Linked DNA regions of Caenorhabditis elegans. Each later gene encodes a partner of the first gene's protein in a complex. Each region holds a gene or a part of one and is shown in the gene's direction. Other genes may lie near its edges. The genes, in order: lin-54, lin-53, lin-9 and lin-35.

Region 1 (7,434 bases):
CGACTTTCTGGTTGAAAATTTCAAAAAAAGACTTCAAAGTATCTGAAACGGCCATTCTCAGGTTTTTTTCGATTTATTTCAATTTACTTCGAAATAAAAAAAAACCTGGAAAAGGAGATTTTCAGGCACTAATTGAGGCATTTCTTGAACTTTCCAACAAAAAAGGAATATTTTCAGATTTCTTTTTGATTAAGAACGTTGATTTGCCGTCCAGCTACCTTCCAAAGCACTCTTCCAACTGAAAATCGTGCAATTTCGGGTCATAACTCTGACATTTTGCCATCTTGCAAGCTCCGTCAGTTTCTATGTAGAATGGAAGCATTTTCTGCAAAATTTTATAGTTTTTAAGGATCTTTTCTTCTCAAATTTTTTATTTTTCCAACCTCAATAAGAATTACAGTGAAATCTCCACGCAAGTTTTGCATAATCATATCCTGTCGAATTGATCGTAGACGATCCGAAACAAACGAAAAAATCGATGCGAATTGTTTGGAAGTGATCGCTGACCGCCTGTCTGATGAAAAATCAATAAAGTTTTTTAAGGAAAAAAAATTAAATCATTTGTAGCACCGTTAAACTACCATAGCCGGGGTAAATTAAACCGTGTATGGCCCTTATAAAGTACTCTTTATTTCTATATAGCACACTTTCTGGACGCGTTGAATCTCGAGAAAACTGACCGAGAATGCGTGAAAACAAGGTGCGTCGGCGGTGACTGAGCTGAGACGTTTTGCACCATAATTGGAGCATTTACCACAACACCAAACATGACACTCACCTTTAAACGGACTGTACAAATCCAGAAGATAGTCTATTGTGTGTTGTAGAACGGGAAAAGGCCTTAATAGTTCCGGTTTGTTGTATTTATGGGTGTCAGCAGCTGATCGTGAGTACTCTTTGACCATTTTCGTCGGATCTGCAACGTATTTTGACCGGGGTCCTGAACTAGTCGATGCAGTAGCTTCTAATTGATCTATCAGATGATTCCGGCTTCGAAAATTTATTTCAGCGACTGGGCACATTGATTCACACGAGGCCATTTCTGAATGAAGCGAAAATATTTTAAAATAAAATAAACTGAAGAAAAAATTCATCAGAGCGCAGTTTCTCTCCACGCAAAAATCGATTTCGAAAAGCGACGAAGCACGAGTTCTTTTACCAGAAATAGATAACAAATGAATCCCAACACCAGTGTCTTTCGATACAAATTCTAAATTAGACGTCTTGCATGATTTATTGAGATATTTATCAAAATACACGCAGATAGTAACAAGAATTTATTGGAACAACAAAAACAAGTGACAGATCATTGAGCTGGGATCTCGATCTCTCCATTGGCGATCGACTCGATGATGTCGTGTGGGTGTTGTCCATCAATTGTGCATCCAACGGATTGGGCTGTTCCTGAAAAAATACAATATTTAGAAACAGTTTATCGTTTTCGAAATATTACCAAGGATCTCCTTGACGGTTCCTTCAAGTTTCTTGGCCATCGATCTTGGTCTCATGATTCTGGCGATCTTGATGATGGTGTCAACAGTGAGGTCTCCATTGTGCTTCACTGAAATGGAAACGTGCAAAACGTTAAACTAGATTGATTAAACAACCCGTTGGGACGAGACAACACCAAACCCAGGAAAAATCAAACTCACGGAGCATGAAAATCACTTAGGTTACTAGTCTTTAAGTCACAAACTTTTACAAACTTATGAAGTAAGAGACCAGGGGATGAGAGCATATCGACTCCCGACCCAACGCATTAAATGCGTACCGTTCTTGACCTTCTTGCGGTCACGTGGTGGCTCCTTGAGCTCCTTGACGATGAGGGAAGCAGCAGATGGGACAACGTCGATCTTGGCAACACGGTTCTGGATGGTCAATTTGCAGGTGACCTTAAGACCCTTCCAGTCTTGGGTGGCCTTGGCGATGTCTTCTCCGATCTTCTTTGGAGACAATCCAAGTGGTCCGACCTTTGGGGCAAGAGCGGAGGTGGCTCCGACTTCTCCTCCGACGCAACGGAGGTACACTGAAAAGTGAAAATGATGCAAAAGAGTTTTTCAAAAATCACGATGATGAAATCTTTGACAAATTGAAAATCACGCATAATACGTCAAATACCTAATTAAATGTGCACAAAAATGAGCAACTTACCGATCTTAATCTCAGTTGGGTCGAACTTTGGTGGCATGATGAGTGACGTCTACCAGGGATACCGGCGGTGACAAAAGTGAGAAAAAATTCGTCGCGAGGACTTGGCGCCGGCGAATTGACTCCGTATCACAATGGTTGTTGCGTCGCTACGCAGCGAATTGTCGATGTCAATTTTCAAACAACATTAACTGTGGAGCGCACTTGCATTATTTTTGTTTAATCAAATTTCGGCGCGCGAAACAATTTTTTAATCCTTTTTTTGGGTGTTTTTTAAATTTATTAATATTAAATCTTATTGAATTATTGATTTTCAAGAAATAAGTTACTAATTTAACATTTTTGAAAGTATTTAGACGGCGAAAAATGAAATTTTGGTTCAAAAAGGAACGTAAATAAGTTGTATTTCATCCTCAAAACGATGTTCTTTTTTTTTTGTTGGGAATTTTCTGGCAAGATAACTTAATTTCTTTTCGTTTAATCTCTTTCCAAATGCTAAAACATTGTTTTCCTGATTAGTTATTTTTCAGTATTTTCAGTGTTGACAATGAATCAAGGAGAAATCGTTTATCAAGACGACGATGATTATTACGACGAATCGGAGATATACGATAATTATGAAGAAGGTGCCGAATTTATCGAAGTTAATGGACAGCTTGTGCCTCATAATCCAGTAATTTGTTTTCAATTCGAAATAAAAATAAACTTTTCTCAGAACTTACAGGCGCAGCAAAATCGTCCGGGAACCTCGAGTATGATTCAACAGCATAATCGATCAATGGAAGTTAATCAGGGATTGGTCAAAGACGAACCAATTGATACATCATCGCATCGCGTCTACGTCCCCCCTCCGAGACCAGTTCAGCGAAAAGTAATTTTAAAAATTTTCGATTTTTTACGAATTGACTAACCTCTTTGGAAGCTTTTTCAGCCTGGGCCCAGCACTCCCGGATCGTCTCAGTACACTGTGCGGAATTTGTCCAATTTATCGGGTTCACCTTCAATGTACGATCGACAGCCCGCTTCATTACGTTCGTAAACTAGAGATCTTTTGTCCTAATAATTATTTTATTTAAGCTAGAACAGTGCAACCAATGGGCTTGGAGATGGGAAATTCTGAACAGCGAAAAGTTTACATCGATATGAAAGATCACGTTAGTCATATTAGATTGAAAACTAAAAAGTAAAGAACTCAAATTTTGTAACTTTTCACTAATTCCTCTATTTTTCAAGAAAAGTATTTGCACCTGGCCAGCGGAAACCATGCAATTGCACGAAATCTCAATGCCTCAAGCTCTACTGTGATTGTTTCGCCAATGGAGAGTTCTGTCGTGACTGCAATTGCAAGGATTGTCACAATAATATAGAATACGACAGTCAGCGTTCAAAAGCCATCCGTCAGTCACTTGAGCGAAATCCGAACGCTTTCAAGCCAAAAATTGGTATTGCTCGTGGAGGTATTACCGACATCGAACGTCTTCATCAGAAAGGATGTCACTGTAAAAAGAGTGGTTGTCTGAAAAACTATTGTGAGTGTTATGAAGCAAAGGTTCCGTGTACCGATCGATGCAAGTGCAAAGGATGTCAGAATACTGAAACATACAGAATGACAAGATACAAGGTGCAATTTCCTATAATTCAGTTTAAAAAATGGAGTAACGATTCTGGATTTTTCGAACGTATAGGCTAACAAATGTGCTCAAATTAACAAGTTTTGTTTGGCAGTTCAAAATTCCGAAAAAGGCTAATTTTGATCACTTTTCCGTGTCCCAGCGGTCGGAAGCTGACTTTTTTTGAATTATCATCTTTTATTGAATATTTTGGTATTTTATCTGACGTTATTTCATTGATTAAGGTACATTTAAAGCTGATCGGTAACCAATTTCGATCATTTTTGGTCACCTCTCGGCCTTAAATGTACTTTAATTGATGAAATTTTTAAAAAAACGTTAGATAAAATACCAAAATATGCAATAAAAGATGATAATTTTAAAAATGTCAATTTCCGACCGCTTCGACGCGGAAAAGTGGCCAAAATTGAATATTTTAGCTCAAATTTCACCTTTTTCAAATTTAAAAAAATCATATTTTGGATCTCTATACGTTCAAAATACCGCAATTCTTGCAATAAATTTAATTTCTTATTCAAATTTTAATTTCAGAACTCCGGTGGTGCCGTGTCCAATACGAATGCCCTGATGTCATTGACCAACGCTTCCAGCACAGCGACTCCAGATTCTGGTCCGGGAAGTGTGGTGACCGATGAGCATGGAGACGACTACGAGGATATGCTTCTTTCGCATAAACCGAAGGTCGAGATGGATCCTAGACGCTTCCCGTGGTACTATATGACCGATGAAGTCGTTGAGGCAGCCACTATGTGCATGGTTGCTCAAGCTGAAGAAGCTGTTAGTTGGAAAATCAATTGGTTTCCTATTGAATTTAATTTTTTTTCTTTGCAGTTAAACTACGAAAAAGTGCAAACCGAAGACGAAAAACTCATCAATATGGAGAAGCTTGTCCTTCGTGAATTCGGCCGCTGTCTCGAACAAATGATCACAAACACAACTGAGCTCACACAAGATCTTGATGCCGCTCCAACGGATGACATCCCAGGACCATCTACTAGTACTTCTTAACTATTCGCATTAAAATTATTATCAATTTTATCACAGTTGCGCGATCTTTTATGATCTCACCTCTCACACATTCTTTGCCTTCCTCCCCTCCTCTCAATGCTTTTACAGATTCACAAGTTGCCTTCTTTCAAAGTTGTCAAATAAAAAATGATCAGAAAAATTTGTTTCATTTTTACTAACTCACCTGCGTCTCTTCAATTTTAGAAATTATTGTGTTATATTTATGAAGTTTTGTGTCTTTTTTTTATTATTTGGCAGCATAGTTGCACATTTGTTCCCAGCAAAGTAATTATTTCGAGAAATGTTTGATTTTTTGATTCAGAAGTTTAAATTAAATTTTAATTGCGTATTGTGCGCCGAAACACGCTCCTATTTTAAACAAAGCTATTCAGGAGTGTTTCGGCGCACAATATGCATCGCTGGTCTGCGATTAAAATTAAAATTAATTTTTATTGTGCAAAAAATAATTAAAATGCGAATTAGTACACCTTTAAAACCTAGAAAATTTATTAGAAATGTCAGAAAACGAGCTGAGCGCCGAGGACACTGCATTTCTGGAAAAAGCCTTCGAATTGGCTCAAGAAGCTTTAGATGAAGATGAAGTTCCAGTTGGATGTGTATTTGTGGTCAATGGAACAGAAATTGGAAGAGGTCGGAATCGTGTGAACGAGACCGGTGATCCGACAAGGCATGCTGAGATGGTAGCAGTCACTGAAATGTGGAAAGAGCACGGAACGGGCTGCGAGGATCTGCTCAAAAAATCCACGCTCTACGTTTCCCTGGAGCCCTGCATAATGTGCTCGTCGGCAATGTATCAGCTGGGAATTCGAAAAATGGTGTATGGAGCCGAAAATCCACGATTCGGAGGTGTACGGAGTGTTGGAAGTGCGGAGAAGTACCGAATGGAGGATAATGTGCAAATTGTGGCTGGAATTTGGTCGGAACGATCTGTCGCCATGCTGAAAACATTCTACGAGAAGCTTAACCCATTTGCACCGCCTGAAAAGCGGAAAACTAAAAAACCAAAGTTAGATGAAATTAAATGATTTTATTAATTATTCATTCTTGTTTAATTTCTCGATTCTATGGTTACTAAATGCGCCATATATATCTGAATTATTATAGTTCCAATTGAGAAAAAGTATTAAAAAATCGATTTTTCAGATGTCTTTATCCAGGTTATGGGGCCCTGCGAGGAGCTGTTACTCCTTTTTTGCAACAAAATCTCCGTTAGCAACTTTATCATCACTACAAAGGAATTCGAATGTGATTAGTTTTCAGATTGCGAGAGGATTTTCGAAAGTAAGGTTTTCGGAAATAAATACTGTAAATGGATTCAGAAATTAGTTTTAAATATTTAAGGCTATTCGAAGTTTATTTTGAAAAAATTCTCTATTTGTAAAATTCTGGAAAATTCAATTTTTCCAACTTTTTAATCACCGAAATCAAACTCCGTTCTGTATTTTGACGTGAGAAAAATTCAAAAAAATTCCCCAGATTTTATATTTCAGCTTGAAATCGCGAATTTCATTTGTGCCCCGGTTTCTTCTTTTCAAATACGCGCCGAAATTAATTATCCTTGAAGCGCGTTTGCCTCATTTAATTTTCTTCAGATATTTTTACTTTTTTCAGTTTTTCATCTATTTTCATTCATTTTTATGGCAATAAAAAATTTACACGAAAGAATATATTTTTCAAAAAAAAAACGATAAAATACGGCAAAAATGGATGAAAATAGCTGAAAAACTGAAAAAAAAAAAAATATATGGAGAAAATTAAATGAGGAAAACGCGCTCCAAGGATAATCAATTTCGGCGCGTATTTGAAAAAAGAAACCGGGGCACAAATGAAAATCGCGATTTCAAGCTGAAATATAAAATCTGGGGATTTTTTTTTGAATTTTTCTCATTTAAATATTCGGAATCAGGGGAAAATTTGGAGTTATTTAAAAATATTTCCCAGATTTCGGTACCCCACCTTTAAATAATATTTTTTCCTTCCAAATCTCCAAAAAAAATTATTTCAGAAGCCGAATAGAGTTGTCGATAAGTCAGCTGACACGCGAAACTACACATATTATGTGATGAGCCTTGTAATTGTAGCAATTGGATGCACGTTTGCTGCAATTCCAGCTTATCGAATTTTCTGCGAGCAAACTTCGTTCGGCGGGCTTACACAGGTGGCGAAGGACTTTGATAAGATTGCAAATATGAAGAAATGCGAGGATCGTCTCATTCGAGTACAATTTAATTCTGATGTTCCGTCGAGTATGAGATGGGAATTCAAACCACAACAACACGAGGTGGATAGGAATGATTTTGAAAATCTTTCTTTCAAGAAAAGTTCATCGGACGGACCAAAAAACATTTTCTGAATTTTTTTTTCTAAAATTTCAAATAAAACACAAAACTAATTTTATTTTCGCTTCTTAAATTCAAAAGTCTGAAAAAAATTCCTCAAAATCCAAGTAAAACCTAAAAACCGAAAAATAAACCTCTTTTTTCCAAAATAAGCCGTTTGCTCTTTCAAAAAACTTTTTTTCCATTAAAAAAAACAAAACTCGTTGTATTTTAAAAAGTTTAAAAAAAACCCATTTAAAAAAACCAAAAAAAGTTTTTTTCCAAAAACCCAACAAAAAGTTTTTCTA
Region 2 (6,564 bases), on another chromosome or scaffold:
CTGAGAAGTTGAGCTGCTACTGAATTTTCTGATGGTGTCTTTCCAGCATGCATGAAAAATCCTCCCGTTTTGCGACCAATTGCCTCAATACATATTGCCAAGTCAACACGATCATCTGAAAACCCTTCAAAACCGGTAAAACGACACTCTCCTTTTACTGCATTACCTTTTCTAGAAAGTCCAGATTTGGCATAATCAGCGCTGTCAAAGCCTTTCTGGTACTCATCGATCCAGTGACGAGTTCCTTGATAATTGAGCTTTCCAGCTGCTGTCCAAATGAACAAAATATTGTATGGAGGACGTGTGCTTGGAGAATCATAGAATTTTGACAGAACAGCAAGCAATTCGAGAAGTGCAACTATACCAGACCCATTGGAATCAGCGCCAGGCGAGACTCCTGGAACGGCCGATTGTGTGTCATAGTGTGCCACAAATGCAATCGTAGGTGCAGCACGATCTCCACTACTCAAGCGACCAACAATATTCAGTGGTTTGTATGAAGGTGGAAGTTCTGGACTTTGATCGGAAGAAGTGATACTGATTGTGTTTCCGGAAAGTGATTGAAGCAAATGTTGCAGGGCTGTGGGAGCTTTTTCCGAGCGAGTATTGACATCGTGAAGAATAGAAACGGCGTCATCATTGAAAGGAGCCACATAAACAGCCAAGTCGGTCTTTGCGCTCAACAACTTTGCTTCAAGATCGATGAATGCCTGAATAATGAGCATAAATAACTTTTATGGCAATATGAAATTAAATGTTCAAGCTAACCTTCCGATCAATATCGTTAAGTTCATCAAGATTGTCGGGAATGAAAATAAGCACGGCACCGGTAGAAAGTGCCCACATGTCATCGACATCTGTTGTAAGAAGATCTCGCCATGTTGTAACCATAGTTCTAGATATTAAAATATTACTATTTACAAATGAAATATCCAAAAAAACCTGCGAAGAGTTCTTGCACCCAAGGAAACAGCTTCATATGATACGCGATAATTTTTGCATCCATAAATGTTACCACTGATTTCGTATTGATGAAGACGGTACGCATGAAACTCGGTTTCTACGACTTCTCCAACTTGCTGGGACCCGTTCACCTAAATATGGAGAGTTCATCTTCTAAATCATTACCAACAACTTACTACACAAATGGTTAACATTAAAGTCATGTAGAAAAGAAGAGCCGGACTTCGGAAAAAATCGATGATTTCATCCTGCATCTGAAAAAAACATATCTTAAGCTCAAAATCACGAGAATCCTGTGCAAATTAGGATGAAAGATCTTTCGGAGTAGGAATTATTTAATAACACAAACTATCATGATTCTACAGAAATCGATAGAATTAAACCAGAATTGATGATATATAATACCCGAGTAGGGAGAAAACTGCATGAGTTTTCTGAGCGGAATTCAAATGAGCCAAACATGCTCTACCGTACCTTGCAACAGCGGTGAAGGCAAATCGTTGCGAGACCCCTCCCCGCGAAAACCGCGACGCGCACACACTTTGAAAGTGGGTTTTATCGGTCTTCTACAGTTTTGGTCACTTTCCCGCATTAAAATTCTCTGTTTTAATATATTTAAATTCAATTGAATTAATATTTTATTATTCACCCCTTCTTTGTTGTATTATTTTATCTAACTACACTGTTTGAACGATAATTATTCTTTGCAAAAATTGAAAATTTCAGGAAATGGCCACTCTTGAAGATGGAACCTCCGAAGATCGCGTCGCAAATGATGAATACAAAATTTGGAAAAAGAACACCCCGTTCTTGTACGATCTCGTAATGACACATGCGCTTGAGTGGCCTTCACTCAGTGTTCAATGGCTCCCAGACGTTGCGAAGGTATGTGTTCTCATATAATTCACAACTTTCATGAAGTGAATTCAAATAATTTAGGATAACAGCGACCATACTATTCATCGGCTCATTCTTGGAACTCATACTTCAGATGAGCAGAATCACTTGCTTATTTCTAAGATCTGTATGCCAACGGATGATGCCCAATTTGATGCATCTCGCTACGATACCGAGCGCAGTGAATACGGTGGTTTCGGAGCTGTTAACGGAAAAGTGGAACCCGATATTCGCATTAACCACGAAGGGGAGGTTAACAGAGCTCGTTACATGCCTCAAAAGTCGAATATCATTGCTACAAAGTCTCCACATGCTGATGTTTACATTTTCGACTATTTAAAGCACTCTGCTGTTCCTCGTGATAACACGTTCAATCCGCTTATCAGACTGAAAGGACACACGAAGGAAGGCTATGGATTATCATGGAATCCAAACAAAGAAGGTTTGATTCTATCAGCGTCAGATGATCAGACAGTTTGTCATTGGGATATCAACGCAAATCAGAATGTTGCCGGGGAATTGCAAGCGAAGGATGTTTTCAAAGGTCACGAGTCAGTCGTTGAAGATGTTGCTTGGCACGTTTTGCATGATGGTGTCTTCGGATCGGTTGGTGACGATAAGAAATTGTAAGCTTTTGTTTTTTTTCTATTTATTAACTAATTAAAAATTATAGGCTCATTTGGGATGTGCGCACAAGCACTCCTGGACACTGTATCGATGCTCATTCTGCCGAAGTTAACTGTCTCGCATTCAATCCATATTCCGAATTCATTCTGGCCACCGGATCAGCTGATAAAACTGTCGCTCTTTGGGATCTACGTAATCTACGAATGAAACTTCACTCATTTGAATCACATCGTGATGAAATCTTCCAAGTTCAGTGGAGTCCACACAACGAGACTATTCTTGCATCCAGCGGTACTGATAAACGTCTTCATGTGTGGGACCTATCTAAGATTGGAGAAGACCAATCTGCCGAAGACGCGGAAGATGGTCCACCAGAGCTGTTGTTTATTCACGGTGGGCACACCGCCAAGATCAGCGATTTCTCGTGGAACCCGAACGAGCCTTGGGTTGTGTGCAGTGTGTCAGAAGACAATATTCTCCAAGTGTGGCAAATGGCTGATAACATATACAACGAAGTTGACGAAGAAACTCCAGCCGATGTGGTAGAGAGACAACAGTAAAATACGTGAAACGCGCTTAAATTATTTGTATTTAACTTCTATCCTTCTTTAATTTTGCATCTCAACAAATTGTTCATCTTACCATTTATTCAAACGCATATTCTTCACCAACTAAGTTTTTAAAGTTAAAATGTTACCTTGAGATATGATCATATTTTGTTGAACCTGAAATAAATTCGATGACCATTGTCAGATAACTGTTTTGAAATATTATGTTAACGTGATTGTTGTGATAGCTCAGATTGTGATATTTTTGGTTTTTTGTTGTATCTTTTGTTATTTCAGGCAATTTCAGAGCACAATGAGTGAAGCTGAATCGTGTGAAGAAACGAGTAAAGAACATAGAATTTGGAAGAAAAATGTTCCATATCTCTACGATACAGTCGTCACAAAAGAGGTCGAGTGGCCTTCTTTATCAGTGCAATGGATGCCTGATGTCACAAAAGTAAGAATCGGTAAATATGATTTCGCCTTCTTCATTATTTTTTTAAGACAGAGAACTCGGATTCATCGATGCATCGAATGATTCATGGAACACATACTTGTGGAGGAGTTCAGAATCATCTCATGATCTCAAAGTTCACAATAACGACAGACACACCAGAATTCGACGACGCTAAATGGGATTCGGAACGTGAAGAGTTCGGAGGTTATGGAGAGGGCAGCGCTGCAAAATGGGATACTGAGATTAAAATCAACCATCCAGGAGAAGTTCATAGGGCACGTTACATGCCACATAATCCTTTCATTATTGCAAGTCGAGGTCCTTCTGATGACGTTTATATTTTCGACTACACGAAGCACCCATCTGAACCAAAAGACACCAAATTTCGACCTCAATTGCGATTGAAAGGCCATGAAGGCGAAGGATATGGAATGTCGTGGAGCAACACCAGAGAGGGACATTTGCTAACTGCCGGCGATGACGGAATGGTATTTCTAACAAAAGATATACATAAATATACATTTTTTAAGATTTGCCACTGGGATATAAACGCGAATCAGACCATTTCCGGTCAAATAGTGCCACAAAGCAAGTTTAAAGGTCATTCATCAAATGCGGAGGATGTTTCTTTTCACGCGCTCCATAATTTCGTTTTTGGATCTGTTGGAGATGATAGAAAACTGTAAGTATAAATACATCATACCATTCTGTCGAGATTTCAAAATAATTTTCACGTCTTTAGAAACCTATGGGATCTGCGTCAATCAAAGCCACAGCTCACAGCCGTCGGACATACTGCAGAAGTTAATTGTATTACTTTCAATCCGTTTTCCGAATACATTTTAGCAACCGGATCTGTTGATAAAACGGTTGCTTTGTGGGATATGAGGAATATGCGCAAAAAAATGTACACGCTGAAACATCACAACGACGAAATATTTCAAGTATCGTTCAGCCCGCATTATGAAACTGTTCTGGCTAGTAGTGGATCGGATGAGTAAGTTTTTTCCTAATAAGTTGTATTTGTTTAACCTATGAAATTTCAAAAATTTCAGTCGGGTTATCGTTTGGGATATTTCTAAAATTCAAGACCCATCGTCTTCATCAGCTGCATCATCTGATTCTGTTCCACCAGAAGTTATTTTTATTCACGCTGGGCATACTGGAAAAGTTGCAGATTTCTCTTGGAATCCCAACCGCCCATGGACTATTTGCAGCAGCGACGAATTTAATGCATTACAGGCAAGAATTATTTTCAAAAAATTAATCATAACTATTTAATGGTTTTTCAGGTGTGGGAAGTTTCAAACAGTTTAGTTTCGTCGGAAAAATGGGAGACCGAAATGATTTAATCGTCTAAATTGCACTTTGTCGAATTTTACTAATTTTCTCACTTCTGATCTTTGAATGTAAAAATCACATTCCTATCAATGAACGTTTTTTCATTTTCTTTCATATTGTGTTCATCTATTCAGAATTAATTTCTCAGGTTTTCTCTGCCACTAAATATTTACTTTGAAAAATAGTGTGTTCACAATGGGGCGCACTTGCGAAACCATGTTTAGTCGGTTTACATTGCTTATTTTCTTACGATAAGGAATATATTGATTAAACATATTTCAAGGTTATCCAGAAAGAAAATGTTGAGAAATTGGAGACTTTTGGTAAGAAGTTTTGCAACAAATTCAAGTGAGGAAATCGCTCCGAAGGTTGATGTTAGTTTGTGAGTTTTCATTTTTTGCATGTTCAAAAAACAAAAAAAAACATTTTTTTAGTCTACGTCCCCGTCATCGAATCATTGCTGCTGGTGGGATGCCACCGGTTCAATTTGATTCTGAGCGTGAACGAGCATCTCGTCGTGAAAGATTCGGAAAATATGGTCTAAAAAGTGGTGTACCAGTTGAAGAGCTGTTCCCAACAGCTGAAGAAATTGAGGAAGAAGAAGCCATTGGATTGTTCAGAGAATTTAATAATGCTAAGAAAGAATACAAAGAACTACAGAAAAAGAAGAGGGAATCAGAGTTAGCGAGGTATACTTTAATTGTAATTTCAAAATTAGCAACATTTTAAAACATAACTTTAAAAAATTTAGAATCGTTCGATAATTTTGCTTCAATTTTGCGAAAATAGGGCAAAAATTAATTGTTTTTGAATTTCGTGCAAGTGGCTGACATGCACGAAATCGGCTTTCCTTGATTTTTTTCTTCAATATTTTATTTGAAACACCGTTTGTCAAATTTTCGGACAATTATATGTTTAAAAAATTAAAAATAGAATTATCGATTTTTAAGACATTTTTGAAATTTTAGTCTTTGCGAATTCTTTACACAAAAATGCCTGAAAAATTTACAAATATGTCATCTGAATCCATTTTCAGAATTGCTGAACTCGAGAAAAATCTCAAAAAGTATCCTGCAACACTTGCAAAATATGAAGCTTCATTGGTTAAACAAGAACAAGAGAAAGACGAAAAGGAAGTAGCACTTGAAAAACGAATTCGTGACATTCAAGAATACTTTGGATATTGGATGGATCCAAAAGATCCAAGATTCGAAGTGATGCTACAGCAAAAAGAAGCAGAAGAGAAGAAGGCTGTGAAAATGGCAAAGCGGGACGAAATTCAGAAGAAACGATTTGCAGAGAACGTTCAGGGATAATATATTTGTCAGATTTCTTAATTTTTCCTAGTTTTTCCTTTTGTCTTTTTCTAGATATAGTTTCTTGTTTTTGTTTTTATTTTCTTCCAACATTATAAATATTTTCAAAAAACCAATGCTCATTTTACCTTTCAATTATTGCCATGGTAGTCAAGCCTATTATTTGAAATCCTCATTTAAAGATTTCTTTTGACGATATAATTAATCCATATTTTCAGCTGGGATGAATCCAACATTTTTAGAATTCATCGGTGCCAATCAACGATCCAGTTGTGGATATTGTAAAAACGATCGCGGCGAACGAACTCCAGCTCGTTCCGCAAAAAGTTAGTCGGATTTCCTAATTTCTGTTGTTGTTTGAAATTAATTCTGATTTTTTACTAACAAACTACTGTTTCCCATTTCCTAAAACTTT
Region 3 (8,958 bases), on another chromosome or scaffold:
GGGATTAAGCTGAAAATTAAAATAAATTGAAGTTTTACTTTTTTTTAAAATTATTAATTGAAAATAGTTTTTTACATATCACAAACTCACATCACGAAACTGAACAAGTCCGAGCTCTCCCAGTTCAGCAACGCATTGATAGGAAGCATCAGATTGAAGGTAGAGTTGAGCCAGGCACATCTGCTCACTTCGATAGATGCCCGGTTGTGGTGGCTCCTCGCCGGGAGTCACGTAATCACCCATTCTAGTTGATTCTGTAAGAATTTCCATGAAATAATATGAAGATTTCAAAAATAAGAAGGAAAAAAAAATCAAAAACGCTTCTTTCGAGAGAAAACATTTAAGAAAAGCACGAGGCTAGGAGCGAAGGCCTCAGGACCGAAGACCAGATATTGACGGAGAGGGATCGATACGGAGCAGCACTGAGCAAGAAGAGAGCATGCGCTCAAACGTGCTCCATTGGAATATCATGAAAAAAGGGAGAGAAATCTAGAAAAAACTAAAGAAACAATTTGCGCAATCTAATCGATCAGCCGACACGTCATCGACATTAGAGCGTAATTCTCCAGGATCTAATAGCTAGACGCAGAGAAATAAACTTTCAGATGGCGAATAAGAAAACCTAAAGGAGATGAGGAAGAAATGAACAGGACAGGTTTTAAAAGAAAGAAAATGTCTGATTGTCTGCCTCATTCACCGCAATGTTTGAACACTGAAACCATTTGTAAGCAGTGTTATAGGATGGAGAAACGTAAACATTGGGCGACTCACATTTCGTGGATATTATGAAATTCAATCGATTCGATCAAAAGGTTGAGAGAAATGAAATAATTGTAGAGCAGTGGGGGAGATTGAGTGGTGATAACGCGAAAAAACGATAAGATTACGCTGCGAGAGGTCAACTTTGCACAAAAACTTCAATTTTGATGCGGAAATTGTATTAAATTTAAGAGAATTGTTTCTTTGCAAAAAGATTTTATAAATAGTGTTTCAAAGTAACATCAAACCATAGAATCCAGATCCAGAACGAAAAACGCTGACTAAAAACACTAAAGAAGAATATTGCTTTGAAGAAAAAACCTGTGAGATGTTTTCGGAACAAAGATGAGTGATTGAAGACGAAATATTTTTAATGAAAAGTTTATTCTACAATTTTAAAACTTTGCGGCCAAAATAAATTTTGGTAAACACTTAGTAGGAATGAACAATTTTATAATGTTTCTTGCCAATAAGGAGAGAAATGAATCATGAGAATGGAAAGAGAAGAACAATATAAACAAAATAATTCGTTTTAAATGCGGAAAGGAAGAAAAAAACATGTTTCACCGCATGATCTTGTGTAAAACCATGTTTAAAATTTAATGATAACCCAGGAAAGATGGAAAATCAATACAAATAAGAAATAAAACAAATAAAAAAAAAAAAAAAACTTTCACGAGAAAATCCAAAAACGGAATGTCACGACGTTCGACTGTCAAACAGCAGCTCTCCCTTTTTTCCGTTTCCCACCACATTCACTTCTCTCAGCTGTGTTCTGTTTTCCAACAGACAGCGCTCCACCGTACCTCGCTACACTGCCGCAGGGCAATCGCGTCGAGACCATCACGCTGTTTGAAATCGGCTGTTGGTTGGGGAAAAGAACCGCCATTTCAAAGTTTTTTTCGCGCGCGCGCGTCCGCATTCTTTCATTGATTTTTGTCTCGTGGTCTGAAATTATTCAAAAATTTGTTATTTTTCAGATAAAAATGTCGTCTGCGGTGAGAAGTCCGCGGAAAAAGGCAGCAAGTGACACGTCTGATCCTGTAAGTTATTGGAAATATTGATTTTATTGGGTTTTCGTGTTTTTAAAAATAAAGAAGTTGTAAATTAAAGAAAGATATTGAAAGTATGCATGACATTCGGTATTTTCAGGATCGCACCAGCTCACCATACAGTCTCCGTGAAACATCTAAAGTTCCATCGAGATATCGTAATGAAGAACTATACCTATCACCGTCTCGCAGTATCAAACGTACCGGATCTCCCAAAAAGTAACAAGCTGTTCCGAAAAAGTGGCCGACTAATCTTATGATTTTACAGATCTCCCGCGAAACGCCTGAATGGAGGTAGAGATTCTCCTTCAGTGAACTCATTGACCCGAAACTCAAGTCTAACAATGCTCGCAAAGGCAGCTCTTGATTATGAATCTTCCAGTTGTGCTTTGGAATATATTGTAAGTTTTAAAACAATTGTATTGTTGTCATGTCTCCAAGTTCCAGCCAAAAGAAGAACGACGCCCTCCACGCAGAGCTCTTGCTCTGTCTCCGCCTCCAGCACCAAGTAATGATCTTCTCGCAAAGGATCTGGAGATGATTGAGATGCATCAAAACCTTGTAGCAGGTCTTGATGATTTAGATAATCCTGCGAATATGACAAATGAAGCTGTAGAACATCGAGATACACAGTCATTCTTCAACATGTTCAGTACAGATCAAGAACGAAGTGCCATGATGAAACAATTCAAAACGTATAAAAATCAAACAAGTGAAGATGTGAGCACATTTATGAGAGCTAATATAAAGAAACTCTACAATTTGCTCCGATATAAGAAAGCTCGTCAATGGGTCATGTGCGAGTTCTTCTATTCTGCAATCGACGAACAAATTTTCAAAGAAGAAAACGAGTTTGCCACAATTATCCGCGAATCTTTCCCAAATCTGAAAAATTGGAATTTAACGCGTATTGAGTGGCGGTCGATTCGAAAACTTCTCGGAAAGCCACGTAGATGCTCGAAAGTGTTTTTTGAAGAAGAAAGAATGTACCTGGAAGAGAAAAGAATGAAGATTCGAAGTGTCTATGAAGGAAGTTATCTTAACGTAAGGCTGAAGAGGTGTATCATTTTCAATAAATGTTCTTTCAGGATCCATCGATTGATCTAAAAGATCTTCCAGCCAAGCTTCCACGTCCAATGGTGGTTGGAAATCGTGTATTTGCGAGAATTCGAAATCCCTACGATGGAATTTATTCTGGAATTATTGATGCTGTCATTCCGAAAGGATTCAGAATTATTTTTGACAAGGTTTGTAAAAGGAGACTCAATATCACCCAAAACGCCCGAATTTTGTAACGAGATGTCTTAAAATTTCGCCACAAACCTATTTTCAGCTAAATTCGTGAACTTCGCCAACTTGTCCATTTTGTACATGCTGGAATGCAATTCTTATTGCATTTTCAACAGTTATTGCATATTTTAGTGGTTTATTTCGCTTTAATTCTATGATTTAGGATCACTTTAAGTCGATAGACACCAAAAATATCAAAGTAGGATTCTTATCGACTTAAAATGTGCTCAAATCATCGAATTACTACCAAAATATGCAATAAAAAGTGTTAGGAGAAATTGACAAAATTTAATGATTTAGCTGAAAATAGGAAGTCTTTGGAAATTAAGACGTCCTATTACTATATTCGGTAGTTTTGGATCATAAATTATTTTGTTTTAGGGAAATTTGAATATTTGAAATTCTATAAATTCCAATGTTTTATTCTTTCAGCCAGATATCCCACCAACACTGGTTAGTGACACGGAAATACTTCTCGACGGAAAACTTGATTTGTTGAGTATCGCCTACTTCATTGAACAAGCCAACTCTAAGCTTCCATCAGGCGTTCGTCCATTTGTAGCAGCAGTTCGTGACTCATCACATCCACATCTTGTTCGTGACGTCCTGGTTTCTCGAAAAATCGAGAGAAGTGGTGGACCATTAATGGGACCGAACGACGAACGATTAAATGGAAAAAATGCAGAAATGGTTGGAAATTTCCCGCTGAAATTCCTTGTGAATCTTGTGAAACTGACGAAATTAATTGATATCAAAAAGGGATTGATACGACAATTGAACGAATTGAATGCGGATGCCGAGATACAAAATATGACGTCAGACAAATATTCGAAAGCTTTTCAGGTACATTTTTAATTAGAAATTTTTTTTGATATATGAAAAAGTCAACTAGATAGAATCTAAAAAACAATTTTTTTTCAGGAGAAATACGCCAAAACTATCATCGATCTGGAACATGTGAATCAGAATATAGATATCAATATGAATGGAATTCAAGATCACCATATGTATTTCTCTTCGAATGATGTAATTTTTCATTTCCTGATTCTTCGAAAGATCTATTTGTTTGCAGATTTCAACGTCAAATATGAAACCTGAAGCAGTTAGACAAATGTGCTCTCAACAAGCTGGAAGATTTGTAGAGCACTGTAATCAAGGATTAAATGTAGAGAATGTGCATGCGTTGACACTTATTCAATCATTGACAGCTGTCCTTTTACAGGTTTGTGGCACTATAGACTGCAGAATAATAATTTATTAATGAAAAAAAAAATTGAAAATGTAAAAATTCATTAGAAAATAAACTTCGGTTTTTACCAAATCCTCTTTCCTAATTTCATTATGGGACGATGCAAGTGAATTTCTCGTCATTTCTCGACACATTTTTTGCAATGCAAGTGTGCGGAGAAATGACGAGAAATGTCGTGAAATTCGCAATTTCTACGCGTTTCTCGACATATGAGATGTGTCCTCGCAGGGTGGTAAGACATTTCACCCTGTTAAAAGTGCGGTGAGTAGGCGGAGTTTCCTGCGGGGACACATGTTTCTGCGTATCTCACCGTTCATCATATGTCGAGAAATGCGGAGAAATTGCAAATTTCACGACATTTCTCGTCATTTCTCCGCGCACTTGCATTGCAAAAAATGTGTCGAGAAATTACGAGAAATTCACCACGTGTTTTCAGCTCGACCATTCGGTGTAATTTGTGCAAACACCGTCACGCGCTGCGGTGAAATTCCTCTTGGCGAATTCAAATATTTTTTCCCGCCTTTTTTGAAAATTTTCGAGGCGTTGGTCGAGCTGAATACACGTGTTCACTTGCATCGTCCCATTAGAATTAATTACAAATTACTATTTTACAAAAAAAAAACTAAAATTGTTTCCTAGAATTCAAAATTACCTGGTCATCGGTAAAACACTATTAAAAAATTTTTTTACTGCAGAAAAATATTAGAAAAAATATTATATTTTTCCAGGTTCGCACAATGGGAACTCAAAAGATCTCTGCAGTTGATCTTCAATCACTTGGTGACGCCATATCTGAAATTCGGACCGCTATTCACCCCCGCAACGTGGCATTCTTCCAAGACTACGTTGAAGTTCATATGAAACAATTTCACACAATTATGCTCGAAAGTGGAGCACTAGCTGGAACTGTATCGAACAGAAAATAACTAAAAGCGTCTCATTTTGTCCAAAAAAACGCCAACCGGTCCCGTCAGTTTTTGTTTTTCTGAATATTCTCAGTTCTCTCATCTCTGCTCTCTCTCTCTCCCCACCTTCTTCAATCACTTTGTGTCTTTTCAAAATTGTACCCGATCATGAGACACATCCCCATTTTTCTTATTTTTTAAAAGTAGTTCAACCTTGATAATTCGAATGTGCCAAAATTCTATTTTCTTCCTCATTGTCATCATCATCATCATCAGTTTTCGAGAAAAACGAGCCAAATAACGAAACCCTTGTCAGTTATACTCCACTATTTTTTATTTTACTGACTGTCTAGAAAATAAATAAAATTTTAAAGTTTCAGGTGAATTTTCATTTTATTATGTTTGCCAGCGGTGAGAAGATATTAGCCCGGACACAAAAGTGAGCGCTAAAAGTACGGTAACTGGTCACGACAAATGTCTGTTAAATACAAACGGATGTGCGCCTTCAAAGATTACTGTAGTTTTAAACTGTCTTTGCTGCGTAATTTTGATCAATTTTTATAGTGTGTTGCGCGCCTTGCTTCGTATTTGAATTCCATTCGCATTTTTTGCTGTTTTGCTGCTAATTTCTTTATTAAATTTATCACGAATGCGTTATTTCGGAGCTTCGTTGTTTCGTTTGAAAGTAAAAATAAAAATAGGAGGAATCGTGGCGAGACCCGCTCCCTACGAAATCTCATGTCCCTTTAACTTTTTGCGCCAAAAAACGAATTTCAATTTTTTTAAAAGTCATTTTTAGCTTTTTTTCTTAATTTTCTTATTTTTTAACAAAAATTTCACTGAAAACCGACAAAAATACATTTAAAACTGTTTAAAAAATTTGAAAAAATAGTTAAAATTTAAAAAATTTCTGTTAATCTTTTATGAAATTTTTGAATGTTTCAAGTACATTGATATCATTCTTATATTTAGCTGCAAAAATTAACAAAAAATCTATTTGCTTCTCTCCGTATTTCTCCATTTCTCTGGTATTGCTCCAAAATCAATTTGATTATTTTTTCAAATACAATAAATACTTTTTTCAGCATGGTAGATCAGTTGGAAGCCTCTATCGAGAATATTCTCGAACAAAAAACGCTAAAACGGATTTTTGTAGCCTGAAAAGGTGTCGGAAAGACGACAGGCAGTTGCTCATTAGCAACGCAACTCTCAAAAGTCCGTGAGAGTGTTCTAATCGTGTCCACCGATACCGCCCACAAAATCTCGGATGCCTTCAGCCAGGAATTCACTAAATTTCCAACACTGGTCGAAGGATTCAAAAATCTCTTTGTGATGGAAATCGATTCAAAACCAGATGGAGAAGACGTCGAAGTGGAGAATATGGAAGAAATGTTGCATAATGTCTGCAGTTCTAAGCTCAAGGACTTGGCGGCACTAAACCATCATCGATTGAAGTATCATATGACACCACAGGAATGCCTGATGTGCCAAATTGTGATGACTCGAGCCGATGATGTGAGGAAGCACATGAGAAATGTGCATCACATCACTCAACCGACGGTGTGCTCGTGTTGCCATCATACCTATCTTTCGTTGAAATCCGTTCATGCACATAGAAACTCTATAAAATAAGGAACAATGGATTCTGAGATACCGATCGCAAAATCGACAAATGCCCGCTTCTGTTTTCTGGCACCGCCTGCCAAAGCTGTTGTGCAAATTAGAGGAACGCCTCAACGAACACCTTCACCACACGTGGAAGAGCCGAAAACTCCTGTCCTGCGACTTTTGAGAAGCTCGCAGAGAAATAAACATCAAAAGTTCCATGTACATTAAATAGAATTTTTTTTTACTTAAATTTTCATCTTTTGTTTTGAACTTTATGCTTGTAACACTATTATACTACTAGTCAATACTAGTTCGCCAAACTTTCCCATCACTTTTTAACTCTGTTACATAATACTTTTGCTTCAATGAAACGGGGAAATGATTTTATTTTTCACATTTTATTCGTGTTCCAATGGTTTTCTATTTCCTTCTTTTTCTTCTTTACTGTTTTTCAAAAAATATTTTCCAGATGAAATGTGGATTTTTTGTTCTCAAAAAAGTGCAATACGCGACGTTATTGTTGTCATGTCTTCAAGTTTCAGCCAAAAGAAGAACGACGCCCTCCACGCAGAGCTCTTGCTCTGTCTCCGCCTCCAGCACCAAGTAATGATCTTCTTGCAAAGAATCTGGAGATGATTGAGATGCATCAAAATGGCCTTCATTCCGAGGGGACAAACTTTTAGGGTGGCAAGGTATTTTTGGGGACAAAGTATCCAAAGTGACATGGTATCCAGTCGACAAAGTGCCATTTGTCTCTGACCGGGCGTATCTTCGGTGACAAACTTTTTCAACTAGTTTTTTATATATATTTCTCAATCGATTTTTGTTTTTTTTTCACTGGAATAAGTTTTTAAATGCAATTTTCCATGGATTTTCGGCCTTGACTACTCACAATTGAATGTATGAACAATGATCCCTCCTGATGATCTGATTATTCAGCTTCAAAGGATCAGAAGGGTACCTCCTGGTGATCTGATCCTTCAGCTCCGAAGGATCAGAAGGGTACCTCCTGGTGATCTGTTCCTTCAGCTTCAAAGGATCAGATGGGTACCTCCTGATGATCTGATCCTTCAGCTTCAAAGGATCATAAGGGGTATAAAAGCAATAAATCAAGCATAGTTGATCAATTCTCCGTGATAACAAACTTTTGGGTGACAAAGTATCTTAGCGGACAAACAAAAATTACCGGAAACTGATATATTCCAAATATATTTCAAATATATTCCAAATATATTCCAAATATATTCCAAATCTATTCCAAATATATTCCAAATCTATTCCAAATGTATTCCAAATATATTTCAAATATATTCCAAATATATTCCAAATATATTCTGACGTCCTTTTGGCACGCATCATATTTTCGATCGTGAAAGTTTTGAAACGGTTTTATTTTACAAGTTTATAATTTTGGAAACAGAAAATATATTTATATAAGTTTTAACAGCTGCGGTGTGTGTTTCATTAACTTCCAGCTTCTGCCAAATGAATGTTTGGAATTATCCAAAGCCTTTTTTCACCATTTTTATAAAAAATCTGAACAGTGAGTACAGATTTGGTCATATCTCTGTTCCCTGGTACGATAATAACACAATTTCGCACAGAAATTGAGAAAAAGATTAGTAGAATAGGAAATATATTTGGAATATATTTGGAATAGATTTGGAATATATTTGGAATATATTTTAAATATATTTGGAATATATTTGAAATATATTTCGAATATATTTGGAATTGATTTGGAATATATTTGAACTAATATCAGATTAAGACTGAATATTTGACAACTCATGTTTATTGTATAAATTCAAATTTCAAAACTGCAGAGAATGGGATATTGCACGTGGCTATTTGGTAATTTGAATGCAGAAAAAATTCCAAGGAATATGAAGTGGACCAAGGAAAATAAATTGGAAATAGCAACTTGAACATTAGGAAACGGGGCTAAGTGAATTGAAAATGAAATCACATGAAAAATAATACGAAGGTAAAATTACTCCAAAATCATTGTATCTCCAACTGCCATCCCCTCCATGGAGGCTCCATGGCCCTCCATTCTCAGGATCCATAAGTCTGGTTAAAAACAAGCTCGTAA
Region 4 (7,759 bases), on another chromosome or scaffold:
TCGCTAGCTGTGAACAAGAGCAGATTTGCAAGAGCGGTCTGGAAAATATTAAAGATTTAACAGCATATTTTTTTGGAGAGAACAGTCAGAATAAAGTGAAAAATTTACCTTGACTTGGTGAACAAAAACTTGTTCAATTTTGCTTGCTAAAGCGGATAAATCCTTTTCTTCATTAATTAATGCTTTTCGAACTTCATTCAAACCATTTTTGAGTTCTTCTTTTATTCTTGTCAATGATAAATCAATCTCGTGTTTTGATACTGCATTGATTAGTTCGATAGTTAATGGAAGAAAGTCAAGTCCAGGAATCACATAGCGGCAGGTTGAGATTTTTCGAAAATATCTATCAAGAGCCCGGACGACAATTGAACAGTCTTTTGCATCACTTGATGATAGAAAAACTTTTGAAACCAAAGCATGCAGAGAATTCATTTCCGTCTGTAAAAAAACTTTAATTTAATCCAAATCGTTTTTAAATTAACAAACCTTCAAAACCGTAATAAGATCTTCTCGTTTATCCTCAAATAATCGATCATGAGTTGTTGCAATCAGAGTGAGATTTGGAATAAAACTCTCAGAAGCTTTATCAACGAGATCCAAAACATCCGAATGATTTGCTGATAATTCTTTCAAATCTACTCTTAAAGATTGTTCTGAACACGTGAGCAACACTTTCTGAACTTCATCTTCATCTCTTCCAATTGTTAATAATAAATCTACAGCTTCTGATACTAATTCTGCACCAGAAGCCGGATTTCGCAGTTGATCCATTAATTGATTTTCCGTCATATCATAAATTTTCTTACTTTTTTGAAGAACTAATTGAACTGTTGGAACGTCTTTATACTGCGATAGTGACTCTTCTGCTAATTTGAACATTCGAAGAACTTCTCCATAGTTTCGCTCATCGAATTCACTCTGGAAGTTGTTTAGTTTGATGCAATATGAAAAAAAAGTTTTAAAATTAAAAATGTTACCCGCAGAACATGAGGAAGATCGAAAATATGCTTCAAACTATTCACAACTTTATACGAGCTTCCCAATTGTAGAATATCGTCACGTTTTTCGCCCAAAACTCCGTCAAGATTCCCAATTAGAGTCGATATTGTCGACATACTTCGGCTGAGAGATTTCATTTCCTGAAAATTAACATTAAAATTGTCTGATTTTATTATTATTCGAAAACTAACAGAATCGAGTTGCGTGAATTCATCTTGTATTTTTCGAACCGTATTTGTCGCAGTCAGAAATTTATTGTAATTTTCGTAGACTATTTGATGTACATCTGAATCAAGCCTTCTCACAGCTGAAACCATCTCCTCCTCTTCTTTTACTAATCCATCAAGCGACTTTTCACGGAGTAATCTGAATTAATAATATTTATCAGTGCATATCTCTGAAAACTAACTTGACGACAAATGCTTCGACATCAAAATCCGGCTTTGTGACGTCCAAAACACTAGACATTTTACATTCAATACTGAAAAATTAAAGAAAATTCAGGAAAACTCGAGAATGAAAAAAAACAGATTTGAGACACCATCAATACAAAGGGAACGAAATTTGGGGGAAATGCTGGTTGCCGAAAAAATAAGTAGAAGGTAAGATGTGTTCAACTGGAACATACATTTTCTGAATTGCAAACTCGATTTCTCTCACATTCACAATTTTTAATCACATTTAATGCTTCAGTTTTAGAAAGTTCTGAAGTATCCTCTTCTTCCTATTCAGTTTCTCAAAATCGATGGTGTCTCCAGGACGTGCACAAATGCGCTCTATTGCGAATTGTGGAACATCATTGCGCGCGCGACTAGAAAAAAATGAGCGCGTTCTTGAAAATTATTTTGCTTTCTCTAATTTTAAACGATTTCGATTACATTTTATCTGAACTTTCTTGGGTTTAATCGAATAAAAAACACAAAAATATTCTTCAGACTGGTAAAAACTTCTTCAATATGCCGAAACGAGCAGCCGATGAGCCTGGAACATCAACAACTGACCCATTTCACGAGCGTAAGCTTTAAATGATTTTATTCAAAGCGTATAATTATACTTGTCTGGAAAGTGAGGCGTTATCAAAGCTAGTTTCTCCGCCGCAGTGAATAGAAAAACTGATTAATGCAATTTGCGCAGGGTTCGATTTTTTCGAAATTTTTTAAACAGCGTTCAAGATTTTACTTGCCTTTCCATCAGGGAGAGAAATTTTTTAGAACTCAGCCTCAAATTACCGCAAATAAATTTAGATATTAATTGATTTATTTTCAGAAAGCCCATTCGATGCCGTGTTAGCCGGCACGGAGACAACGGATACAATATGTGAAGAGCCACCAGCAAAACGAATCGACTTAGATATAAAGCAAGGTATGGGGTTTTATAAATATTAAATCTGATTATTTTCTCCTTTTCAAAAATATTAAACAAAAACAAGGGTTTGCAGCCTCATGTGATAATCTAAATGACTGCTTTGTTTTACATATTAAGAGCATCCTTCGTTTTTCCAATAATTTTCTCTATGAAGATAGATATTCCCCAGTTCATTATCACCTTTATCACAACTCGCTATCATCTCCTACTTATATAGGAAATTATGAAGTTATCAAGCGCTCAGTCACCTGACTAGTTAAGAGGTCACTAACAACAATAGCTACCAATCAAGCAACATTTTTATTATTGCACACAACCACGAGCAAATGTCAAAATATACATAGAAGACAGAGTGAAATCTATTGAAGAACGTCACTTCGGACTGTTATATGTCCTGGTTCAACCACGTCACTATATGCAGGCGGCCGAGAAGTTGCACGTGGTCGGGTTGGATCTTCATCATTTGTAAACGCCGAATTGTCAGCTCCTGTTGGTTCACTCTGAAATTGTTACAGAGTTTTAGTGATGTCATAGGGAAAGAATTTTAGAGCTCATTCTGGCTCGAATTTGCTGGAAATCGGAGGTTTCCCAATAATAACCATTTTTCTGATATTAGTATTACTTTTTCGACTACAAGCGCTCCGTAACAAAATTTAGCGGGTTATTTGAAGTTAATTATAATCGCATTAAGACGTATTTATCTAATGCAGCTTATAATATAGAAAGAATAGCTTAGTTTTATATTATTGATTAATGAATAGTCGTTGAAACGGATTTCATAAAGCTTCAAAAAATTTTCAAAACTCACATTGGCAACTGTCAAAATCGGTGTCGATACGAAAGAACCACTCCTCGTTGATGCCGACGTCGTCGAACTCTCGCTATCAACAGGTTGTTGTTTTGTAGGAATCGGAGGAGCAGTTTGACTTGACATTGGTGGGGCGTAGGCGGTATATCTTGGTGGTGGTGGCATACCACTGGGACTCATTGGTGTTGGTACAATGTATTGAACATTGTAATTTGACGCCTGATGTTGAGGTCTGAACCATTGAATGAATATTCATAATTGAAATAATGGACTCACAATCTGTATGCATTTCTTCTGAGGAAGTTGTAGAGAATCATCATATATCGCATTTGGACGAGTGCAACAATAATACTAACAGTTAGGAAGAAACATGAGATTATAACCATTTCTAATTCTCCAGTTGTCATTTTTGGAACACATCCCTTCGCAGTGGTTACATCCTTTTGGTTATCTTCAAATCAGTTTCTTTATTCCGGAAAATTGTATTGAAACTAACCTGGATTGCAAATGTTATCATTGTTATCCGATAAATAAATACATGCAATAACTGCTCCCAGGATCAAGAAAAACACCCAAAATGTGTACATTGACTGAAATTGATAATTATTTCTCAAAGTGTATATTAACGAGAATATTGATGCTTCCATAATTGACTAGGAACATCGAATCTTGTGAGTTATATTTAAAACGTACTAGATATAACATGTAAGCAGTGATATAGGCAATTTTTCTACGCTTTGCACCAGTTGATAGAACAAACATCATGGCGCTTCCAATAGAAATCTCGAAAACGTAGAGCACAAATGGAGATGGATACAAAAGTCCGAATATTTGACATATCATGAGAATGGATCCGAGAATTCCAACAGCTCCCTGAAAAATGTTCAATCCTTGCTGAGATTCAAAATTTCTGAACTTACACCAATTGGAAGTCCACAAAATACCCTTGGCTCCGGTTCAGCAGCTATCCGCTGTGTTGGCTGATGTGGTTCAGCCCGTTGTTGCGGGTGCTGATACGGATCCGTCGTTTGAGAAGACTCGGTTGTCATGGTTCTTCTGGAATCAATACAATTTTCTTGGCTTATATGGTTTATAAATGCATTTGTGTGTGTCTGAGTGTGCCAACAAGAGACCTCTACGAGAGAAAAGAAAAGGAGAAGCAGAGTCGGGGAGGTGACATACGACTGATATGGTCGATGTCACGACAATATGATTCTCTTTTTCTCCCCCTTTCAATTCTTCATGTGTCGGTTGAGTAAATATTGCATGAAACTGTAGAAATGAGGGCATTGGGAGATAGAGAGAGGGACGTTGAAAATAGAGAAGAGCACTAGAATCAGCTGAGAGTATGTGGAGAAATAAAGAATGATAAGAACGTTGGAAGAAACTAGAACAATTTTGGCAGCTTAGTTTCGTCGTTACTTGATTTGTCACAATTAAATATGGATAAGTTGAGAATCAAGGATGCCAAAAAATATTTTTGACAAAAAAAAACAAAAAATTTCTTGTTCAAATTTCGTACCAAAAACAAAAAAAAATTGGATTTTATTTTTCTCGCGATTTAAAGTTAAAAATTTCGAAATTTTTTTTTGGTTTTTATGATATTTATACAATTGTATTTCTATAGAAATACCGAAAAAAAATTGGTGACTTATCGAATTTGTTTTAATTGGAAAAATATAATGGATTCAATTCGTTCTTTAAAAATTATTGGAAATTACTTTAAAATTGAAAAAATTGAAATTTTTTTCATTAATTTAAAAACTGACATCCTTGGGTCAATTCATTGCCATCTGGATAAATTTCCTTTAATATTGTAAATCATTGAGTGTTTCCAGTTGTGTAGGTCTCACTATGAAGAAACTATGAAAGAGGAAAAAGAAAATATAGAAAACCCATAAAAGTGGGAAAAAAACGGAAATTCGTGTTCTCCGTCGAAAAATATCACAATTTATGGGCTTATATGTGTGCGGGACAATGAATTCAATGTAATATTATTACTATGCACATCAATAAATTCAAATATAGCTGGTATCCACTCTTTTGGGTTTTTTCTTTTCGATATGCACCTATGGGAAAAGTATCAAATTTCAAGACAAATCAGTGGTTTTGTTCACGAGAGAATTTGCCTAGTTTCAGAAGGTTTATGAAATATCAATTAGTATTAAGAGTACACAAAATTATAGGATTTTTTGTTGAAAATTTAAAATGGTGCTTCTCCGTTTAAGATATATTTAACAAAAAATCTAACAAAATTAAATTGGTAAACGTTGATATAAAAAATCAGAAAATTGGTTTGGCATTTCAGAAAATATTTCAAGATGGATCAATCGTACTTGTTAACAGTATCAATTTTAATTTAATTTAATTTTTTTTCAAAATATAATAAATATGTTTAAAAATTCATTGATAATAAAAATTAAACGTTTTTCATAAATCAAACTTCGAAACATTTTCATAAAAAGGTAGCACAAGCAATAAGAAATGTTCTTATCACAGTCAACCTAGATGACATGAAATATTAAATGATAACTGTTTTCAGAATTCAATGGTGGAGTGCAAAGTGGAGGGCTGATTAAAAATGAATCCGAATTGACTCAAATGACAATCAAACAAGAAACAGAAGGAAACATAAATGAAGCTAGACGAGAAGAAGAAGACGAAGAACAAGATGAAGATTCCAGAACATCAATGCCACCTGCATTGGGAGAAGATGATGATTATGAGGAGGATGATGCTGATAGTTTTATTGATAAAACTAATGTAATACTATGTTTCTTCTAGTTTTACAACATAATATTTAAAATTATACGGAAAATGATGCGGATAATTTTAATTTTCATCAACACTTGAAAAAGGAAGTCTAGGACTAAGATTTTCTAAAAATTATATCAATGTCAACCTGAAAAGTTAATATCATAATCAGAAAAAAGTATTTTTATTAAACGAAAAAATGAAAAAAAAACCCCCTTTTTGCCCCTGATTGCTCAAATTAAAGTATAAAAAAGAATTTTAAACTTTTCAGACACCGCCACCATCACAATCATTTCTGGAAGGATGTCGAGCAGCTAATTTACCAAATGACATTGTTACTGGTGCATGGGAAACGTACAACCACGCGGTTCAACGGGTTTCTCTTGAGGTTAATTGAGTAGTCAACGAATGCGGGGAAGGGGTTTTTTCAAAACAAACCACTACTATATAATGTAAAAACTGAATAATTCAAGTAGCACACATAGTGAACACAAGTGTGCCTAATTAGAGCTTTCAAAATATTTTTATGTGTTCTGACAATTTTTCATTTCAAATGGCTATGAAATTTTTCACATTAAAAAATAGATATTAATCTGAAAATAGAATTTACTCTGCTGCTTCTTCTAGACAATAAAATAATTTTCAGGGTTCGGAATCGGCGTGGCAACTATCAGCAATTTACTATTATCTTCTATCAAAAGGAATAAAACGTCGTGGAAAAACAATCCGTATTCTCATTCAACCGTTTCCTGTTTCGATACTTACAATTGCCAACTCATTTGACATATCCGTTGCTGAAATGCTTGACAAAACTGCTCGATTTGTGGAAATTATACATTCCAGAAAAATTCGTCGTTATCAAGAATATATTCGACGAATTCAAGAAGGACTCGCAGTTTCTTGTGTGATATTCAAAAAGTTTTGCCGAATTTTCTGCAAAATATTCGAGGAGATCAAAGTTGGATCCGAAAATTGTCCATCTTCTCATGAACTTTTTACGGTTCTTTGGACATCTTTTCTGGTGATGAAAAGTCGAATGACAGTGGACGATTTGATTTCAAATTATCAACTTCTTTTTTCAATACTTGATCAAGTATATACCGAAATGTGTTCAATGAAAGAGGGAATAGTTCATCATTTGAATCAAAAATTTGTTGAAGATCTTCTTGAAAATGATTGTACGATTATTCGAGCTCTTTGCACACAATTTGGTGGAAGTGTTCTTGATGCACGGCACTTTTCTGATCATACTTTTAAGAAAATGGAGAAGACTGGAATTCCGTCCACTTGGAATTTTCAAGAGTTTCGAGATTTGATCATGTACGTTTTATTAGAAAATGTAATTTTAAAAACGAAAATAATACTTTCAGGAACGTTCCAAAAACGGCATATGAGAATTATCTATTGCAACGTGGAAGTATTGATGAGCGGATTTTCATTCCAAGCGTTGAGGACTTTTCAAAAATTTTCCAATCCCCGGACACATACTCAGTAGCAGATATTCTCAAAGTGTCTTACTCTGGAAGACGTTTCCGTGATGCAGAATTTCTTACAAAAATCTCAAATAATCATTGTCTGGAAAAGTTGGCATTAGGTGGAAAAGTAGCATCAGAAAAGTTGGTAACACAGTCAAAAGAACAGCCGAGAGTTCCGTGTGTTGAGTATAATCTCGAATTGGGAAATTATCCAGACGATTTGGAATCGAACAATCAAAGTCTTTATAATAGATTGACAAAAATTATTGGAAGCTGGAAATTGGAGAATTCGAAACTCGAAGAGTAAGTAGCGAATCTATTTTGCACAAAAAAAAGACAAAAAAGACTTTTTTTTCGG

The links.
Region 2: lin-54 (region 1) and lin-53 share a complex: the UniProt entries of both Caenorhabditis elegans proteins name them as parts of the DRM complex.
Region 3: lin-54 (region 1) and lin-9 share a complex: the UniProt entries of both Caenorhabditis elegans proteins name them as parts of the DRM complex.
Region 4: lin-54 (region 1) and lin-35 share a complex: the UniProt entries of both Caenorhabditis elegans proteins name them as parts of the DRM complex.

Annotation. Positions count from the first base shown.
Region 1 is NC_003282.8:13,238,373-13,245,806, forward strand, and holds lin-54 (Protein lin-54), read left to right. Parts: upstream 1-2,678; 5' UTR 2,679-2,695; coding exon 2,696-2,821; intron 2,822-2,863; coding exon 2,864-3,019; intron 3,020-3,070; coding exon 3,071-3,179; intron 3,180-3,225; coding exon 3,226-3,331; intron 3,332-3,381; coding exon 3,382-3,769; intron 3,770-4,310; coding exon 4,311-4,556; intron 4,557-4,610; coding exon 4,611-4,787; 3' UTR 4,788-5,029; downstream 5,030-7,434. Other genes in the region: tag-115 (SAC3/GANP/THP3 conserved domain-containing protein), read right to left, coding at 219-325, 384-514, 779-1,040; rpl-12 (Large ribosomal subunit protein uL11), read right to left, coding at 1,307-1,404, 1,454-1,561, 1,772-2,026, 2,152-2,188; JC8.4 (CMP/dCMP-type deaminase domain-containing protein), read left to right, coding at 5,303-5,833; cox-11 (Cytochrome c oxidase assembly protein COX11, mitochondrial), read left to right, coding at 5,952-6,089, 6,814-7,089. UniProt on the Caenorhabditis elegans protein: Synthetic multivulva class B (synMuvB) protein. SynMuvB proteins are required to repress the induction of vulval development by Ras signaling and probably act by forming the multiprotein DRM complex that repress transcription.
Region 2 is NC_003279.8:9,614,886-9,621,449, reverse strand, and holds lin-53 (putative histone-binding protein lin-53), read left to right. Parts: upstream 1-1,689; 5' UTR 1,690-1,692; coding exon 1,693-1,848; intron 1,849-1,902; coding exon 1,903-2,486; intron 2,487-2,533; coding exon 2,534-3,047; 3' UTR 3,048-3,239; downstream 3,240-6,564. Other genes in the region: nra-2 (Nicalin), read right to left, coding at 1-124, 167-710, 769-895, 943-1,094, 1,140-1,217; putative histone-binding protein rba-1, read left to right, coding at 3,349-3,492, 3,540-3,980, 4,023-4,174, 4,235-4,489, 4,548-4,734, 4,785-4,844; K07A1.10 (Large ribosomal subunit protein mL64), read left to right, coding at 5,133-5,215, 5,268-5,522, 5,870-6,149; ate-1 (Arginyl-tRNA--protein transferase 1), read left to right, coding at 6,373-6,475. UniProt on the Caenorhabditis elegans protein: Core histone-binding subunit that may target chromatin assembly factors, chromatin remodeling factors and histone deacetylases to their histone substrates in a manner that is regulated by nucleosomal DNA.
Region 3 is NC_003281.10:8,896,913-8,905,870, reverse strand, and holds lin-9 (Protein lin-9), read left to right. Parts: upstream 1-1,739; 5' UTR 1,740-1,745; coding exon 1,746-1,802; intron 1,803-1,911; coding exon 1,912-2,030; intron 2,031-2,079; coding exon 2,080-2,212; intron 2,213-2,252; coding exon 2,253-2,855; intron 2,856-2,899; coding exon 2,900-3,058; intron 3,059-3,533; coding exon 3,534-3,944; intron 3,945-4,022; coding exon 4,023-4,127; intron 4,128-4,173; coding exon 4,174-4,323; intron 4,324-5,078; coding exon 5,079-5,276; 3' UTR 5,277-5,633; downstream 5,634-8,958. Other genes in the region: unc-32 (V-type proton ATPase 116 kDa subunit a 1), read right to left, coding at 1-9, 91-243. UniProt on the Caenorhabditis elegans protein: Synthetic multivulva class B (synMuvB) protein. SynMuvB proteins are required to repress the induction of vulval development by Ras signaling and probably act by forming the multiprotein DRM complex that represses transcription.
Region 4 is NC_003279.8:5,805,775-5,813,533, forward strand, and holds the start of lin-35 (Retinoblastoma-like protein homolog lin-35), read left to right. Parts: upstream 1-1,934; 5' UTR 1,935-1,955; coding exon 1,956-2,013; intron 2,014-2,265; coding exon 2,266-2,361; intron 2,362-2,646; exon of another isoform or gene 2,647-2,723; coding exon of another isoform or gene 2,724-2,864; intron 2,865-3,172; coding exon of another isoform or gene 3,173-3,404; intron 3,405-3,448; coding exon of another isoform or gene 3,449-3,623; intron 3,624-3,668; coding exon of another isoform or gene 3,669-3,762; intron 3,763-3,865; coding exon of another isoform or gene 3,866-4,045; intron 4,046-4,092; coding exon of another isoform or gene 4,093-4,221; exon of another isoform or gene 4,222-4,228; intron 4,229-5,714; coding exon 5,715-5,935; intron 5,936-6,197; coding exon 6,198-6,314; intron 6,315-6,572; coding exon 6,573-7,246; intron 7,247-7,296; coding exon 7,297-7,704; intron 7,705-7,759. Other genes in the region: vps-51 (Vacuolar protein sorting-associated protein 51 homolog), read right to left, coding at 1-38, 109-438, 487-918, 978-1,139, 1,191-1,365, 1,409-1,467; C32F10.4 (uncharacterized protein), read right to left, coding at 2,724-2,864, 3,173-3,404, 3,449-3,623, 3,669-3,762, 3,866-4,045, 4,093-4,221. UniProt on the Caenorhabditis elegans protein: Key regulator of cell division which acts as a transcriptional repressor and negatively regulates cell cycle progression in its active unphosphorylated form, but allows cell cycle progression when phosphorylated.